2 linked regions of the Diceros bicornis minor genome follow. The protein of the gene in region 1 interacts with the protein of each later gene in a biochemical or structural test. Links are inferred from orthologs where the notes say so. Each region holds a gene or a part of one and is shown on either strand. Other genes may lie near its edges.

The links.
Region 2: the proteins of RAD51 (region 1) and RAD52 form a complex in vitro, tested with the Homo sapiens proteins (6 studies listed by BioGRID). The link is inferred for Diceros bicornis minor from reciprocal best matches to the Homo sapiens genes RAD51 and RAD52.

The regions. Positions count from the first base shown.
Region 1 is NC_080744.1:38,529,194-38,532,942, reverse strand, and holds the start of RAD51 (DNA repair protein RAD51 homolog 1), read right to left. Parts: upstream 2,602-3,749; 5' UTR 2,552-2,601; exon of another isoform or gene 2,355-2,551; intron 1,754-2,354; exon of another isoform or gene 1,672-1,753; intron 1-1,671.
Region 2 is NC_080756.1:59,530,620-59,534,368, forward strand, and holds the start of RAD52 (DNA repair protein RAD52 homolog), read right to left. Parts: upstream 2,581-3,749; 5' UTR 2,490-2,580; intron 2,190-2,489; exon of another isoform or gene 1,157-2,189; intron 1-1,156. UniProt on the Homo sapiens protein: Involved in double-stranded break repair. Plays a central role in genetic recombination and DNA repair by promoting the annealing of complementary single-stranded DNA and by stimulation of the RAD51 recombinase.

The DNA.
Region 1 (3,749 bases):
AAATTTTTTAATTATTTTCAGGAGGTATTAGTAAAAGCGAACAAGCCTTGATGTCCACAGAATAAATGGACTTAAATCACACCAAAACAACCTGGACAATTTAACAATCAGGATAAATTTAACTCAAAAGATAACAGATATTGGGCTGGCCCCGTGGCTTAGCGGTTAAGTGCGCGCGCTCCGCTACTGGCAGCCCGGGTTCGGATCCCGGGCGCGCACCGACGCACTGCTTCTCTGGCCATGCTGAGGCCGCGTCCCACATACAGCAACTAGAAGGATGTACAACTATGACATACAACTATCTACTGGGGCTTTGGGGGAAAAAAAAAGGAGGAGGATTGGCAATAGATGTTAGCTCAGAGCCGGTCTTCCTCAGCAAAAAGGAGGATTAGCATGGATGTTAGCTCAGGGCTGATCTTCCTCACAAAAAAAAAAAAAAGATAACAGGTATGAAATCTCCATTCTTAGAGACTTGACATGACCATTTGTTCTTGATTGGTACAGATACAGATCTCGTAGATGGCAGATTTAGCATAATGTGAGTCTATGATAAGTCCAAATATCGAATCAGCTGAACATAATTTAAATTTAAATGTCTCCCTTCATAATTTACGGAAAAGATGGCACTGCAGAGTAATGGGGAAAGGATGGTCTTTTCAATTAATAGTACTGGATTGATTGGATAGCCTTATAGAATAAAATAAACTTGATCTCTATCTCATACCACAGAAAAATAATCAATTTCCAATGTAGATTATAGATCTAAGTGTAATGGGAAAAACAAAGCTTTTAGAATATAGACAAATATCTTCACAACTTTGGGACAGAGAAAGACTTCTTAAACTAGATACGTAAAGCAATAACCAAAAACGAAAAGACTGAAAAACTAGACTATACTTTTATTTAGAACTTCTATCCATTAAAAGACACCATGAAGGGAATGAAGTCAAACTATAGTGAGCGGAGAAAATATTTACCACATATATACACCAGGGGCTGATAACCAGAATATATAAAGAATTCCTTCAAATCAGCAAGACAGGCAACCCAAGAGAAAAACAGGCAATGGATGTGAACAAGGCCTTCACAACAGAAGATAGTCAAATGGCCCAACAAACATATGAACAAATGTTTAACCTCATTAAGAATCAGGGAAATTAAATACTAAAACCACAAGATACAACTATATACCTACCAGAATAGCTAAAATTAAAAAGATTGACAATATCAAGTGTTAGCAATCATGTGGAACAACTAAACACTCAAACACTGCTGGTTTGAGTGTAAACTGGTACACCTTTGGAAAAGTAGTATTCAATGTGAAAGCTGAAGATAGACAAATGCTATGACCCAAGAATTTCACTACTCTGTATTATTAGCCACTGAAAAGCACACACATGTGCACCAAAATGTATACAGAAATGTTCTCAGCAGCCTTTCTCATAAAAGCCAAAAACTAAAAACAACCCAAATGTCTACCATGGGTAGAATGAATAAGGAATACAATATAACAACGAAAAAGAATTACTGCTATATGCAAAGACGTATGAATCTACAGACAGAATGTTGAGCAAAGCCAGACACAAAAATATAAATATACAGTATTACTTATACAAAATTCAAAAACAGGCAAAATTAGTCAAGGGTGTTAGAAGTCAATATAGTGGTTACCTTTGGGGAGAAGCGGGGAGAGTATTAGACAAGGGGGCACAAGCGGGGCTTCTGCAGGGCTGACAGCGTTCTACTTCTTTACCTGAGTGGTGATTACACAGGTATATTCATTTTGTTAATAATTCATGGAGCTGTGTACACTTTTGATTTGTGCACTTTTCCACATACATATTACACTTCACTTTAGAAGTTTAAAAAAAAACAAACCTCACTACAGATCGTTCCTTAGGCATCACTAAAAGGTCTTCCGCATTAGATAACGAAAATTTCCCTTTGGCAATTGGAGTTTGGTACTTTGTAAGCAAAACACGGTGTAATGGAAAGAAGACTGACCAGAAATCCGGAAACCCTGGCCCCGACATGAAACAGCTGTGACTTTAAGTCACCACACCTCCCCGGATCTTGGCTTCCTCGCCGACGCCCATAAAGCAGGGGTTGGAAAGGAAGCCGTCTAAGGTTGCTTCCACCTCTAAAGACTGGGGTCCGCTGCTGTTTTGCCACAACGAGGTCCGAAGGTCGATGTGCCCGGGCACGCCCCAGCTCCGCCCCGCCATCTTGGAGCTTCTCGGCGCAGAGGGGCCCCATAAGCCGGCCGGGGGAGCAAGGGCCCGGGGCCCGGTCCGGCTAACGCAGGGACGAGCCCGGCGGTGGAAAGGGGCCCGGTCTGCGCCTTACACACTCACCTTGGCTTGCGGCGCTCGCTACTCTCCCGGGCGGGCTGCGCGCTCCGACTTCCCTCCGCTGGCTCGGGCGCGCTCGACCCCGGACGGACTCCAGACCCCCTCGCTTGCGCCTCACTTCTCTACTCCCTTGCTCTGGCCCCTGCACACAACCCAGGTGAGCTTCAGCTCCCGACTACGCGCCCCGGAGCCCGTCTCACCTCTCCTCAGCCCTCAGCGCGCGCGCCGTCCGGCAGCTTTCGGAAAACCCGCCAAACCTCTGGCAGGGTCACGCCCGCGTCAACGTAACGTCTCCCCGGCCTTCTCGGATCCGCCTTCTAGCCCCTTCAGCCACTGCTCGCGAGCTTAAGAGATGGGTCAACGGAACTTGACCTTGCATGGTATTATGGATTGCCCTCTTCCTTTTCCTCCTAAGGGCTAATTCAAAATTTGGGAGTTGCAGCTTTCTTCTCCTTACCAGATCGAGGACTACAACTCCCAAGAGGTAGTGGGGTTGGCCCGAGATTACATCTCCCAGTATGCACCGCCGGCGGACGCCGCGACTGTAGTTCCTTAGCCCTCCTGGGAAATAGCGTGGCTCTGGAGAGCTGTTGTTGATTTGCTTCTGAAGTTTCTAAACGTGAGCTTTTGGCACTTCAGATAGCTGTGAGCCTCCGGTTCAGTCAAATTGTCAGAGCCGGGCGCTTTCCAGGCCCCTGCAGGCGGTGGAGCTGAGGACACTCGAGCAGATGGATTAAACTGGGAAATAGAGCTAGTGGAGGGAAGAAAGAAATGGCTGAAGTATTAGTCAAGCTGTGGTACATTACTGAAGATTTGCAGGACTCCAGAGGAAAGAGGCATTGATTGTGAGAGGGTAAACCTTATGGTTTACTAGAAAGTTTGACCTGTGATTCCGATTTTAAAGAGTCAATAGGGTTTCCCAGGCGAGGAAGAGAGAGAAGACATAAACAGAGCAGTGTGGGCATGGACATTAACGACATGGTCAAGGAATAGTATTGTCTGATGAGGGAGGAAAAGTGTCGTAAGAGGTGCTGAGACTGGAAAGTTACGTTTAGTTCAGGCTATGAAGAGGCTTAAGACCAAGTATGGAGCTTTGTCTTTATTTAGGTAATGGGGAAATCATTGAAAATTTTTAAGCAGACGAGTCATGTGGTTAGATCTACTTTTTTCTCCACCAATACTTTATATTTGTGGAGTGCTTCAAAGTTCATAAAGTTTTTATTTAATCCTCACACCATTATCACGTGGCAATGAAGGATAGATTTCGGGAGAGTGAGAGTCAAGACAGCAAAAACTGTCAGGAAGCTCTTGGCAATATTTCAGGCAAGAGATGAAGGCTTGAATTAGAGCAATGCCAGAAAGAACAAGTTCAAAAAGCATTCTGGAGGTAGAATCACC
Region 2 (3,749 bases), on another chromosome or scaffold:
GGCCTACACTATGTGACTCCAAGACTTACTATAAAGCTATAATATTTAAAACAGTGTGTTACTGACATAAGGATTGATCAATGGAACAGAAGAGAGAGTCCAGAAATCAACTGCCATTTATACAGACATCTGAATTTCAATAAAGTTATCAATGCAATACAATGGCACTCTCAACAAATGATGATGGAACAACTGGATATCCATGTGGGAAAAAAATTTAATATTTTTCACAAAATAATTTTCACACCATTCACAAAAACTAGAGCTGGATCACAGGCCTAAACATAAAAGCTAAAACTATAAAATTTCTAGAAGAAAATACAGAAGTATATTTTCACAAACTGGAGGTGGCCAAGATTTCTTAGACAGGACTCTGAAAGCAATAACTATAACAGAAAAAAATGATAAATATGACAACATCAAAATGTAAAACTTTGCTTATCAAAAACAGCTCTAAGAAAATGAATAGCCAACCACAAACGACTGATATCCATAATATAAAAAGGATATATAAAGAACCCCTACAACTCAATAATAAAAAGACAAATAATCCAATTTAAAATGGGCAAAAGGGCCGGCCCCATGGCTTAGCGGTTAAGTGCGCGCGCTCCGCTGCTGGCGGCCCAGGTTCGGATCCCGGGCGCGCACCGACGTACTGCTTCTCCGGCCATGCTGAGGCCGCGTCCCACATACAGCAACTAGAAGGATGTGCAGCTGTGACATACAACTATCTACTGGGGCTTTGGGGGGAAAAAAATAAATAAATAAAATCTTTAAAAAAAAAAACATGGGCAAAAGATTTGATCAGGCACTTCACAAAGGAAGATATAAAAATATCAATAAGCACAAGAAAAAGTGCTCAACATCATGAGTAATCAAGGACTAAAATTAAAACCTAATAACATACCACTTTACATCCAGCGGAATGGCTAAAAATAAAGACTGACAACACCAAAAGTTAGCAAGGATGTGAAGCAACTAGAACTCTCATACACTGTTGGCAGGAAATGGGCTAATAAAACTACCCAGCTGTAAACACATGCTACTCTTCATGAAAAAAGAAGAATGACTTGAAGATGAAGCCACAGGTGCAGAGGGTAGGGCAGGCCACAGAGGATTAGTCCCAGGCCTTGAACCCTAATGGTTCTTTACATACCTTGGATATCAGTCCTTTGTCAGATAGGTGTCAGTGCTTGCCTATTCATTTTCTTAGAGTTGTCTTTGATGAGAAGTTTCAAATTTTGATGTAATCCAATTCATCTGAGTAGACACCTTAAAAGGGTCTAGGAAGTCAAAAAGGGGAAACAACCCAAATGCCCATCAATTAACGGAGAAACACAATGTGGTATATCCCAACAATGGAATATTAATATTCAGCTATAAAAAGGAGTGAAGTACTGACACATGCTACAACATGGATGAACCTTGAAAACATTATGCTAAGTGAAATAAGCCAGACACAAAAGGACAAATACTGTATGATTCCACTTATATGAAATTTCTAGAAGTGGCAAATTCATAGAGACAAAAAGTAGATTAGTGGGACTGGGGTTAGGGGGAAACGAGAAGTATCTGCTAATGAGTTGGGGGTTTCTTTTTGGGGTGACAAAAATGTTCTGGAATTAGACAATGGTGATGGTTGCACAACCTTGTGAATATACTAAAAACCACTGAATTGTTCACTTTAAAAGTATGAATTAGGGGCCGGCCCCACCACACAAACGCTTAAGTGGGCGAGCTCCTCTCTGGCGGCCTGGGGTTCGCAGGTTCAGATCCCCGGTGCGCACTGAGGCACCGCTTGTCAGACCATGTTGTGGCAGCAGCGTCGCATATAAAGTAGAGGATGATGGGCAGGATGTTAGCTCAGGGCCAAGCTTCCTCGGCCAAAAAAAAGAGGAGGATTGGCATCAGTTGTTAGCTCAGGGCTGATCTTCCTCACAAAAAGTAAAAAGAAGAGAAAATTTTTTTTTAAAGTATGAATGTAATAGTATATGAACTATATCTCCACTTTTTTGAAAACATCTAGAAAGGCTGAATACGCGTCTAAATTGAGTGTCAAATTCCTTTTAAATGGGTAATTCCTGCCCAACCGCAGCCACTTCTTCCAACTCCGATCAGCTACCGACACAAACTTCAGCGCTCTCCACGCCTGTCAACAAGCAGCAAGCAAAGGTCTGGCGCCCGTGCAGGGAACCGCCCCAAGCAACGGGACGCCGCCCTCACCCCGTCGCGGGTCCTGGTGCGTGCGCCCCGTGTGGCGGCGCAAGTCCCCTGCACCCCGCCCCTCCCAATCCCACTCGCAGTTAAGCCCTGCTCCTGAACCCCCACTGGACTAGTCAGCACAGGCCTCCAGTCTCACGGCCACTCTGGGGGCACCGCAGGCGAGCTCAACCGCCGCCCCCGGCGCCTGACTCAGGATCCGAGCCGCCCCGCGCTCCACAACCCCAGCGCCGACCACCCCAGCGGGGCCGCTTTCCCTTCCCACTTACGCGCCTCGCGCAGCGCGCGGCGAACGCACGCAGCTCCCCTAGACTAAATGCGAAGGGAATGGAGTTTACCCACAGCCGCGCAGAGGAAACTGGGAACGAAGCACAAGAGAACCCTGGGAAGAAGGTCCAAATCGAGAGAGAGCCGGGGGTGGGGCGAAAAGAACAGGAGGGGGGAGCCGTAATTCAAGTCGGAAGGGGAGAGGAGCCGCAAAGCAATCTTTCGACAGCCGTAAAGCAAGCTGGAAGCGCGATGCTGACCGCTGCGTTCGGAGCCGCTGTCTCCGCCTCGCTCTCTCTGCCTGTGGCTCCCCGACGCCTGCCTCCAGTTCTACGGCCGCCCAGATCTCTGCTGCCCCCTGGCGGGTCCGGCCAGCTCGCCCGGTGCATGCGGCTTAATCTAAGGCCTCTTAGGGCCCACTTCTCTCGCCCCTTCCCACAGGACCTCACAAACCCAGTCCCAGTCAGAGTGCGGTGATGGGGCGGGCGAAGAACTTCCTGGTATTATTGGTGCACACTAGGGATATTGCAGGAAAGGAAAACCGTGCTTTTAAGTCTTATTAAGAATGGTTGTCAGAGGCCAACCCGGTGGCGGCGTAGTGGCTAAGTGCACGTGCTCTGCTGCTGGCGACCCAGGTTTGGATCCTGGGCGTACACCAATGCACCGTTTGTCAGGCCATGCTGTGGCAGCGTCCCATATAAGTGGAGGAAGATGGGCACAGATGTTAGCCCTAGGGCCAGTCTTCCTCAGCAAAAAAGAGGAGGGTTGGAGGATTTGCATGAATGTTAGCTCAGGGCTGATCTTCCTCACAAAAAAAAATAATGGTTGTCAGAGCTCTGTAGTTTCCACCCCAGACACGCACAGCAAAACCAAGGCAATGTGGACATACTTGTTCACCAAGCCTCCTTTCTCTCCTACCACTGCTGCATACACCCACTGATCCCCGGATGGCGTGTTACATTAGCTAGGACCAGAGGGAAATGTGTGGCGACTTGTGGGAAGGGAGTGCTTCTTTAGAATGTCCCTTGGAACCGTGCCTTGCAACTGGGTGATGACTGCATATCCTGTTAGCAATGCTCAGAAACAGGATTAAAAAGTTTAGTCATCACAAACCCAAATTAAGTACTAAGGACTCCAACAAAATCATTCTCTTACGTTTTACAAATTGGTTGTTTCAATAAACCCCCTTTAATCAGATGGTTCGTTGTCTGAGCAGTAATATTCCATCCAGGGCAAATCATTTCTTGGATGACTTCTCACTC